Linked DNA regions of Drosophila melanogaster. Each later gene encodes a partner of the first gene's protein in a complex. Each region holds a gene or a part of one and is shown in the gene's direction. Other genes may lie near its edges.

The links.
Region 2: CSN5 (region 1) and CSN7 share a complex: the UniProt entries of both Drosophila melanogaster proteins name them as parts of the CSN complex.

Annotation. Positions count from the first base shown.
Region 1 is NT_033777.3:16,467,781-16,472,785, forward strand, and holds CSN5 (COP9 signalosome subunit 5), read left to right. Parts: upstream 1-2,318; 5' UTR 2,319-2,398; coding exon 2,399-2,659; intron 2,660-2,712; coding exon 2,713-3,289; intron 3,290-3,348; coding exon 3,349-3,494; 3' UTR 3,495-3,626; downstream 3,627-5,005. Other genes in the region: CG42232 (uncharacterized protein), read right to left, coding at 1-895, 1,053-1,096, 1,170-1,391, 1,454-1,627. UniProt on the Drosophila melanogaster protein: Probable protease subunit of the COP9 signalosome complex (CSN), a complex involved in various cellular and developmental processes.
Region 2 is NT_033778.4:8,418,669-8,424,673, forward strand, and holds the start of CSN7 (COP9 signalosome subunit 7), read left to right. Parts: upstream 1-2,364; 5' UTR 2,365-2,442; coding exon 2,443-2,628; intron 2,629-2,688; coding exon 2,689-2,941; intron 2,942-6,005. UniProt on the Drosophila melanogaster protein: Component of the COP9 signalosome complex (CSN), a complex involved in various cellular and developmental processes.

The DNA of each region.
Region 1 (5,005 bases):
TTCTCGCTGGACTGGCGTACGACGATGTGGATGGAATGGCAAACGCCGAGGCGTAGTCAGGCAGTGGCGACGAGCCTCCAGAAGAGATGTCCGCTTGGGGGTGGCTATGGGGGTGGTCTTATCTGGTTGGTTGGAGGCGATCTGCTTTTTAATGCTGGTAAGCAACGCTCGTTTCATCAGTGACTGGGGCGTTCTATTGGGTGTGGTGATTCCAGCCGGACGCTTAGGAGTTTTATACCGTTGCGAAGGGCTTGCTGATGGCGGGGTGTCAGAGTTAGTTATGTCTATGACTAATGGGGATGCATCTGATGATTCGTCGGTGCTGTCTACACTGATAGGCGTCTGTTTGGGTGTGAGCTTGAATCCAAGCGTCTGTTTGGGTGTTTGTCGTAGCTTTGATGGGGTGGTCAGGTCGATCAGGAACATGGACGAATCCCGCTTGGTTTTTTTTGAGGTGGATGGCGTGCTAAAGTCCATTAGATCTCGGCTGCAGCTGTCTTCGTTTAGTTCAGAGAGCACATTGCCCTTGGGGGTGCTGTATACGCTCTTGGGCGTGGAAACAGCCAAAGACGTCGTGGTGTAGCCAGGTTTTCGAACACATGAAAAGGATTTCTCGATCTTCACGCCAGTCTCGCGCGGCGAATAAGAGGTAATAACCACGTCGGAGATGGCGCACAGCCTTAGTAGCTTTTGGTGGCTACCTGGTGGCGTTGCGGTATTCTCCTTATTCTGCGTAGCCTCCAGAAGATTTACTTTGGGGGACTCGTAAGCTGTCTCCTCTGTGCTGCGCTGAATTGATTCATTCAGTGAGACATCCTCCAAGTGAGACTCACTCTGATCACGAGACTCTATAGAAGTATTTCCTTCGTCGTCCGAATTGATGCTGTAGTGAAAACTGAAAAGGTATAAGCAGAGATAAGGTTTTATGAGGACTATTAACAGGCAGACAACACATGCTTGCAGTAGGGACTTTTTCCTATTGTTGTTGCCCAAAGACATTTTAGGGGTTGGCCAGGTAGTCGGTTAGGGGTCTGCCTGCTGTTTTCACTTACTTGTGAACTGTCAGGCGTTTTTCGGCTTGTAGACGATGCGATTGCTAAATCAAATAAAAATGGGGAAATTGTAGGACTTGGAATACTGTACTATCTGGAACAGATGGCGGCTATTACCTTCAATGAAGGGCAGGAGTTTGAGGCCTGTTCGTTGGGCAATAGGCGTTCTGGGGTGCATGGGGCATCCTGCACCTCGGAGGTCTTGGGGAACTCCCACGTGTAGACCTTGTCTCGAATGGTAATCTTGCCACCGTGTAGCAAAGGACGCTTGCCTGCAGCGTGGATGGCCACGTCGTTGAGATGAATGGGGTCTCCGCTGGACTTGTTGTATATGATGACCTAAGGGCGGAAGAAGCAGTATGTTAGGGCGGTTAAGGGGGATTCCTGCCATCCAGACTCACCCTGCCGAAGGCATCGCAGTTTATTTCGCAAATTAGACGCTCCTCCTCTGGCCCCTCCAGGATGAGGTCGCAATTGTAGTAGGAGCCCACCTGGAAGGTGCGCCCTTTGGCTGCCAGAACCACGGTTTTACCATTTTCGTCTTCGTAGCGCAACCTACCGCCATCCAGCGACATTTTCCAAGCGGCGTCGCAAATGCGGCTTGGGTGCGGGGAAAACGAATACCGAAGCGAGCACTTTGAAAAGCCGCAAAGCTATTGGGAATAATACGGTAAATGCACGTACACAAAACACCCACAAACTATTCACTGATTTCTTTCACACTTTTCCACCAGACACTGTTTTTACGGCCCACATCACGAGCTTGCCAAAGTTAATTGTAGCGAAAACTCTGTGCAGGAATTTTTTTGCAATGGACGCGCAAGCCCTGCCAACCTGCTTTTAATGCGCCGGCTTATGCGTTACATTTAAAATTCGGGGTGCAGGAACTGACAACTTACTTGAATTAAAAGTGGTTTATATTATGTGATTATTAATAATGGTTAATCTCAAGAAGTGAAAAGAAAGATACAGATTACAGATACTGCGATGAATCATTTTGTCACTATGAAATAAGGTTTTAAGTTTTTTTTAGTCAAAAATGCTGCAAATTAGAGTGCGTATCGTAAACAGAAAAATTAAATTAAAAAACTTTCCTTGGTAAAAAATTAACGATTAAAAATACATTTTATTTATTAAACAAATAAATTGTTAATATAGATAAATTTTAAATTTTTTAATCAATATTTTAATTTCTTAACTTATAATAATCGATTTATAAAAAATATCGATTGTACCTTCATGAAATTGATTGTACAGATGGTACCGACAAGTTCATCTCTAGAATTGAGCCGGAAAACAAAAACTTGCAACAAAAGACTACAATTTTCGGCATAAGTACAATCACAATGGACTCCGACGCCGCACAAAAGACCTGGGAGCTGGAGAACAACATCCAGACGTTGCCCAGTTGTGACGAGATCTTTCGCTACGACGCCGAACAGCAGCGGCAGATCATCGATGCGAAGCCCTGGGAGAAAGATCCCCACTTCTTTAAGGACATTAAGATCTCGGCTCTGGCGCTCCTAAAGATGGTGATGCACGCTCGCTCTGGCGGTACTTTGGAGGTGATGGGTCTAATGCTTGGCAAGGTAGAGGACAACACAATGGTGAGTTATTGAATGTAAAAAAGGTCCTCAATTTATAAGTCATTCCCGTGCAGATTGTCATGGATGCATTTGCACTGCCAGTGGAGGGCACTGAAACCCGCGTCAATGCCCAGGCACAAGCGTACGAGTACATGACCGCCTACATGGAAGCGGCCAAAGAGGTGGGACGCATGGAACACGCCGTGGGCTGGTATCACAGCCATCCCGGTTACGGTTGCTGGTTGTCCGGCATCGATGTGTCCACCCAGATGCTCAACCAGACATACCAGGAGCCATTCGTGGCCATTGTGGTTGATCCGGTGCGCACTGTTTCCGCTGGCAAGGTGTGTCTGGGTGCATTCCGCACGTATCCAAAAGGTTATAAGCCACCAAACGAGGAGCCCTCGGAGTATCAGACCATCCCGCTGAATAAGATCGAAGACTTTGGAGTCCACTGCAAGCAGTACTATCCCTTGGAAATTAGCTACTTCAAGTCTGCTCTGGACCGCAGGCTCCTCGACTCTCTGTGGAACAAATACTGGGTAAACACACTGGGCAGCTCGGGTCTGCTCACCAACACAGAGTACACCACCGGTCAGATCATGGATCTCTCCGAGAAGCTGGAGCAGAGTGAGAACTTTTTAGGTCGCGGTACATAATGGGTCGATTTAGGAATTGTGCAAATAATTTACCCGCTTTATTATCCACAGGAACCGATGTCAATGAGAAGCGTTCGGAGGATAAGCTGTCCAAGGCCACCCGAGACTGCAGCCGCTCCACCATTGAACTGATACACGGCTTGATGGCTCAGATTGTTAAGGACAAACTTTTCAACAAGGTCGGACTGGGCAAATAGTTCAACACTAAAATTCGCAATGAATTTTAAAATGCATTGTGAATTTTCTTTTCATTTCCCTGGGAAATATTTAAGTAAGTCAAGCTTATCCAAAAGAAAAAGGAAATTATAAAACCGCCTCATAGGCTGATGAAAAAAATCTCAAACGCTTTTACTTTTAAAATGGGTTCTTTTTTGTAGAGAAACTGTTTTCGTTATTTATGTATTAGACGACGGAAGGCATAGTAAAAGTTGAAACTTTTATTCGCCTGGACGAAAAACAGCCGATCCACCATTTATTATATTCTTTCAGATAAACAAACCTTTTTATTGTTAAATAAAAAACGCTTCTGCATTTGACATTTATAGAATATAAAATAATTGGACATGGCGATAAAACATTGTCGAAAATGTGATGCTTGGGTAAATCAATTGGTCTAGAATTATGTAACCCGAGCCGGTCTCAAAGCAACAACTGAAGCCCACCGACTGAAACATTCCCTAATTGCTTCGGGATTTTTAAAGTAAATATTACACAGCCTGGTTAGCTATACAAGCCAAGCCGCGAATGCGTCCCTCTCATCAATCAAATGGTTTCATTATTTTCATCGTTTGGTTTATTTTACAACTTGTATTCCCCGATTGCGTGTTTGCCGATGGGCTCTAGGGTTTCCCTGACAGACCCGTAGTCTACTGTCTGCTCCTGGGAGCGAGAGCTACAAGTGAGATGTCAACGCCCTTCCAGCACGTGGCCCAATCAATTTGAAGGGACAGGAAGGGGGCCGCTTGCGAAGGGCGCTAATTAAATACGCTGTCACGTTTATGGCCGCTGTGAAGTATCAAAAAAAAAAAAGGGGGGAGGGGGCGCCAAGGCAAATACAAGTCCTGTTTAACCGTTATCATCACTCCTGCAAGGAATGCCCATTAAAATGTCAACATTTGTGTGCTTGTGCAGGATTTATTCTGTGGAATTTTTAAATCCTCTTAAATGTAAATGTAAATTGTGGCGCATAACAAGTCCAAAAATGCCACATCAAAAAGGGAGATAAACAAAATAACAAGAAATATTAACGCACTTGGAGTAAGCAAACGAGAACCTTTATAAAGATTTACGTGACAAAACCAACGAGGACTGCGTTTGTGCGTGTAAGTTATTGGTGGTAAGGCAATAAAACTTTCATTTTCAGACATTATATCGAAAAGTAACCGTCAATTGGCATCAACAAGGAGCATTGACATGAAATGTAACACTGCCAAAGGGGGTTAGACCCTCCGCTTGGCGAATGGGAAGGATGAGTCTACAACGATTGCCGAGGTGCTATAAAAGTCCCAGCGACGAACGACAGGCGCTTCATTCGCGTCCTGGATGCCAGTTAGAAAGCTTCCTGGATGCCAGTTAGAAAGCTTCCCATTCGCGATACACACATACAGTCCAAGCCGAGGGACGTCATTCCAGCATCTACAGCATCCTCCTCGTGCGCTTTCGTCCAATAAAAATCAAAGTAATAGCAATGGAAAACCTATTCTCCGAG
Region 2 (6,005 bases), on another chromosome or scaffold:
CGTTTTAGTACACTGTTATACGGCCGTAGGACAGTCTGAAGGATACTGAGGCGGCGGGGCCCCACCCACATTTGCATGCGGCGCGCGTTCGCGGGGCTGATTCCTTTTATTTGGCCATTTTGGGGCCCTCGAACTGTGTTGATATTTTATTTTCATACATTTTTATGGGCTAGTAAGCAAATTGTCGGGCGGGGCATGGGCGGCGATGGGCGTGGCAGGGCGGGTGATCCCCGCCAATGATTTTAATGTGCAAGCCGATGATGGATTCAGAAGGCAAAAAGTGTAATTAATTTTAAAGCTCGGTCCCAGCTGAACCGACGATGGAGTACATGAATTGGGCAAATGACGTCCTTGCTTTGCCCGCAAATGAAATTGAACGCCCTCGTTCGGTAATCTCGGAAATAGGATTGAAATCCCGGGAAACTGAACACCCGAACAACCTGCCAACTGCCGACTCATTGTGCGTCAAATTAATGACAAAGTGAAATCCACAAAAAACCAGAACACGGAGCAGAGCGGGTAAAGTTTGCCGCCGTGACAAAGAGCTTTTCAAAACTGCGAGAATCAGCGGCAAGGCGGAAAGTCTACTATAGCTTACCCTATGCGGAAATTCCAGCCAGAGACCATATATGTATATGGTCATGCCACCAAAAACATCTGGACTAACTTAAAACCTAAAATGTTATATCTTTTTTATAATATGTTCCATTTCTCAGTTGGTATTCGTTACTTCCATTTGTTCATAGATTAATACCGAAACATGGGAAACCTGAACGTTACCATTTAATTTCAGCTTAGTGTTCTTCTGTTGCAAACCAAAAACGTTTTTTTCGCTCTGCCCAATCTTCTAAGTAATTTCCAATCCCCACCTGCTGACCACTAGTGGTCCATCGCAAGAATGGCCACAGGCTTTCGTCGGTTGGCGAGCGAATATCCTCGATGGGCGCAACTTTGCGCACGCAACCCGCAAAATTGCGAACGAAGTAAAGGCAGCGGGATTTCGCATTATTCCAAAAATGTTTCAAACGCAAACTAATCCCGGATGCAATTCGGATAGCAGTCGCCGCAGGAGAAGAACCACATCCGCCGCTCCGGATGGAAGCCAAAAGCGAATCTGCAGCCGAACGCACGCAACAGAATCAAAATCACAACCAATTTTGTAATGGCTGCGTACTGGCAAATTTGGCAAAATCCCATAAAATTTGGAAGGATGGTGGGTAGAGTGGGTAGAGTGGTCGGTAGGCGTGCCAATCCAATTGGAAAAATTACAAAACAGTCCGGTCAATTTCTGTCGAAGTGTCGGCATTACAAGAGGTATGGAAAACAAAGCGATACAAGTGGAAAATATGCTGTAAAATTGAACACTGTGCTGTGGGCAATTTTAAAACAGACGCAGTATCTTTAAGGCTCGGGCTCACCTTTTTCCTGTGAGATCCTGTGTGTGAGTGTGTGTATCCCCGTGGGTCCCTGACCTTTAGTTAACTTTTCATAATCGATGAGCTGGCGCATCTCATACAGGGAATGGCGGTCCCAATCACGCTCACTCCCACTTCCATGCCGAAGTCAACCCCCCAGACACAATAAAGGGTTTTCAACTTTGACCCTAGCCTTTTTATACTCGTATTCGCATATCCGCCCCTACCCACAGCAATAATAGCAAGTGTGGCTGGCGCAAAGTTTTGGCAGTCCAAAGTAGCTCAAGGAATATATTTTTTTAGGCCCAGCCTGCCGTTTCCGCCCTCTTCTCTCCTTTTTTTATACAGCCCCCTAGGGTGCGTCTGTGTGTGCCGCCGGATGGAATGTGGAGCGAAAAGTGTTTTAAAATGGGGATGCCCTGCTTTAACATAATGACCAACATTTCCAAGAGGTGAGTGCAAATGCTAGGCTGTTATTAGAAAAAAACAATGTAGCGAACGAGGAGGTATCCCCAAAGAACATAAAATAATCATAAGCATAATGAACGGGTTAGTATCTGTGGCTAAGGTTGCATAAATCTTAAGTTTTTAATTTACTTTTTCACACAGGGCCTGACCAACTTCAGATTGTTTAAGCTTGGCGCCCACTTTTATGGCAGTCAGCTTGTGCAAGAGACATAATAGTGTGACCTTAATTCTGTTTACCGTACCAAATTTAGTATATTTACTCTGCACTGTAATTTAAACTAATTTTATTATAGGGCAACACAAATAATATTTTTATAAAAACTGTAATTTGTTTTTATGGCTAGATATACAATAATTAAATCGTAAGTATGTCCTGTCATGTGCGTAGTAAGAAATAGTTAGAACTCATTACACTAATAAGATAGAATGAATTGAAACTTCGATAAACTTCGGTCGATATAATTTGGCCATCGATGAACGGTCACACTGGCACTGTGCTTGCAAAAATCAAAACAATCCCAAAATTTAAAAACAAATTATCCAACTTGAAGTTATCAAAATGACGCAGGACATGCTGCTGGGCAACGAGGAGCCGAGCAAGAGCAAGGAGACGTTCCTGGAGAAGTTCTGTGTCCTGGCCAAGTCATCCACCGGCGCCGCTTTGCTGGATGTGATTCGCCAGGCCCTGGAAGCCCCGAATGTCTTTGTTTTTGGCGAATTACTGGCGGAGCCATCCGTTTTGCAGGTGCGTCCATCAATGAAACACATTCTGGCAGTAACTTACCAACCACAAAACCACACATAGCTTAAAGACGGTCCGGACTCCAAGCACTTCGAGACCCTGAACCTATTCGCATACGGCACATACAAGGAATACCGTGCACAGCCGGAAAAGTTCATCGAGCTGACTCCTGCCATGCAGAAGAAGCTGCAGCACCTGACTATCGTCTCGCTGGCCATTAAAGCAAAGAGCATTCCCTATGCCCTGCTGCTCAGCGAACTGGAGATCGACAACGTCCGCCACTTGGAGGATATCATCATAGAGGCCATCTACGCGGGTGAGTTCGCCTAGGTGGATAGATTCAACTAGGTTTCAACTTTACAGCCCCGATGTAGTCTATACAATGTTGCATTACTTTTATTTGCGCAAAACTCATATAAAACAGTTGTTTCCACCTCTCAAAAGTCAAAAAAAAAAGTCCCTTTTCGCATGAAATCGATTTCACGGTTACTAGGGCATTCAACAAAAAAAGCTTTCCTCCTTTTCCTTTTGGGTTAAAAACGTATTCATTTTTCAGCTGAAAGTCCAGCCAATTCAGTGCCAAGCTGACAAATCTCGACCCTGCCTCGCTCCTCAGCTTGCATTATTAAATCAAATGCTAATTTTTGACTACTTCTCACCATGGAAAGGGCGCCTCCTCGTTCAATTAGCATTTTTCAGCAGCTGTACACCTGCGCCGGCGGCCCAGCAGCTGTGAAAGCAGTAGATTCATAAAGTTGTGCTGCCGTCTAGCGCCTCCCATTCCAGACCACCACACCCCGGCCACCGCCTTTGGGCAGTGCACTTGATTAGCCGGGACAGCTGGCGCATCCTGGCAAACGAAAACAATTGGGCGAAGAAACGAGGATTATGCTCGGCAAGATTCATTAAGCCACTCGTTATGGCGCCCCACCAGTTGATTCTGCCCAACTCATCCCCGCGGGGAAACAGTTTTTACTGTTGCCGACGTCGTCAGCTGGATGAACACTTTTGCCTCGATGATTTCCTTTTTGAGCTCACGCCTCAGTGGTGGCCGCCTACAATCAAACTTCGCTACGTAATTGCCACATAAAAAGTTTGCTCCAAGCGTAAGGTGAGGAATCACAAATCGTAAATATTTCCAACTGTGGGAAAATCTTTTGTCAAGATGCTGACCATTAGTAGTTTTGTATGTACCTAAATAGGAGTAATTTGATACGATTACAATCAGTGCATACAATTCTTAGAATCCTAATAGAGACTTGTAGCCTAAATTGTGCATTTGAAACTAACAGGCAATTAGCTGTTGCTATGACTCGCATATAGGAGACGATTGTTGGTAGATGATGTGCATAATTTGCCCACTGTTGCATAGAAACTTGAAATCCATCACTGTGCGCCGGCACAGCTGCATATTTACACAATTTGCACTTGTAGTTCCGGACCGAGGACCCAGTCTGCATTGTATGTCTGCTGAAAGCCTTAAATCAAACGCAACACCCAGAAGCCGGGGCCCAAATATCGCACTCGGAAACATCGTCCGTGTAAGCATACTTAGGGCCCTCGAATGTGGTGCTAAACTTGTTGGTGCTGTTGATTTTTGAGCTTTGGCCTGTGATCTATGGACCGGAATGAAAACAAACAGAGGCTGTGCTATATGGGGCTGGAAAACGAGCCTTTCAGGCGGATTTTTGGTTAGTCCTGTTCGGTTTTCAGCGGCTCCCGACAAGTGCCCACTCGACGTATGAAACAATCTAAACATACGTACCAGAACATTAGCGCTGGATAAGCAAATAGCGTGCAGAAGTTTTTAATGGACTCTTGGACGTCCATTATGTAAGCAAATAAAGTGACAACTCAACGCCATCTGCTCCTCGCAACATCGTCTCACCTGCCCTTCCTAATTGCTTTCCAAATCCAGGCAATGAACAGACAAATAAATTCCCCCGCCCCAGCGAAGATTTATGTTATGATAGCCATCATTAGAGCATCATTGCGGGTGGCAGGAGGCCAAGTGCCAGATGTCTGGCGGAATGCGAAATCATTGCGTTCTATTAGGCGCCGTAATCTGACATCGCAATTTAATGTAGTTGGCAACGGAGCGGGGCCTCCATTAGCCGGCGGGCAGGTTGAGTGGTTCTCTCGTCGCGATTCCAGGTCATCCCATTAGAGCATCATTTGTCTACCAGGACGCTGGGTTGGGGATATGGTAATTAAATGCCTTCTAGAATTCAAATTCGCCAGAAATTCATTTCGGCTCGTTCCATTAGTGGGACAGCTCTTGATTGTTTCGGCTTTGCTCAGTGTTTGGTTTACATTAATAGTACCTAAATTTATTTCAGATATAATAATAATAAGTAATAATAATAAGTATTCCCTCAAGTTAAGTTTTGTTACCTCTGAGGATATTTAGACAACATCATGTGCTTTAACTTGTATTTTAGTTCTTTGCTCTTTCTTTCATAGCAGTTCTACGAATGTTAATTAAGTTGTAAAAATAAGAGTAAGAGTGCGGATAACCGCCCTCAAAAATGTATTGTAAGCGAGAGTCTTTGGCATCTGCTCCTAAAATCGATAAGTCGAGCATTCCCCACCAGAACAGCCTCTGTGGTTTTCAATCTCCCAGGCATTTTCAAATATTTTCCCAACTGCTTCGAACTACTTTTTATGCAATAACATCCCGGCACCAGTAGCTGTATGCTGGGAATCGCACGAATATAAGCAAAACAGTTTGTGCACTCATGTCGAGGCGAGAGTGGTGGTTCGGAATGCCACCGAGTTCACCGAGGATTGCACCCTCGCTGTTGCCGTGTCGAGTTGCTGGGATTTACAGAATGTGTCGCAGAATGCGCCTTCTTGATTTTAGTTTTTTGGTGCACTTCTTTAATTTCTTTTGTGTGTCAAAGAAAAGTTTCGCATAATTCAGGGTGCTTAAGAGCGGCTTTTGAAGTAGCTTTCCACCGGGCCGGGGGATTTGCAATTCTGAGAGAAGTGGGATGAATTTGTTTGGGGGATGCACGGCGAAGTACCAAAGCGCTGGCCACTTGTGCATAACATTTTCTGAGTAGGCCGCAAAAAGTGTAAGCCCCTTTCGCAATCGGTTAATTAACAGTGTTCCAATGACGGGAACACTGCATGGAAAGCGGCTTTTATCCTCTGAAAAGCTGTTACATCAAAGGCCAGTTTACCTTAATGAACAAGCCGCGACCTTGCCGCAGAGCCGAGTACCCAAAAGAGACGCAGTTCGGACATAATTTGCTGCCCCCGCTCTAAATCCGGACGTATCCGTCTCCTCGGGACCCGCCGATTTTGCAGCTGCTTCTGATTGCATAGATTTCGGCGCCGGGAGCCCATTGCAGTGGGTTGCCCGGAAAACTTTGAGA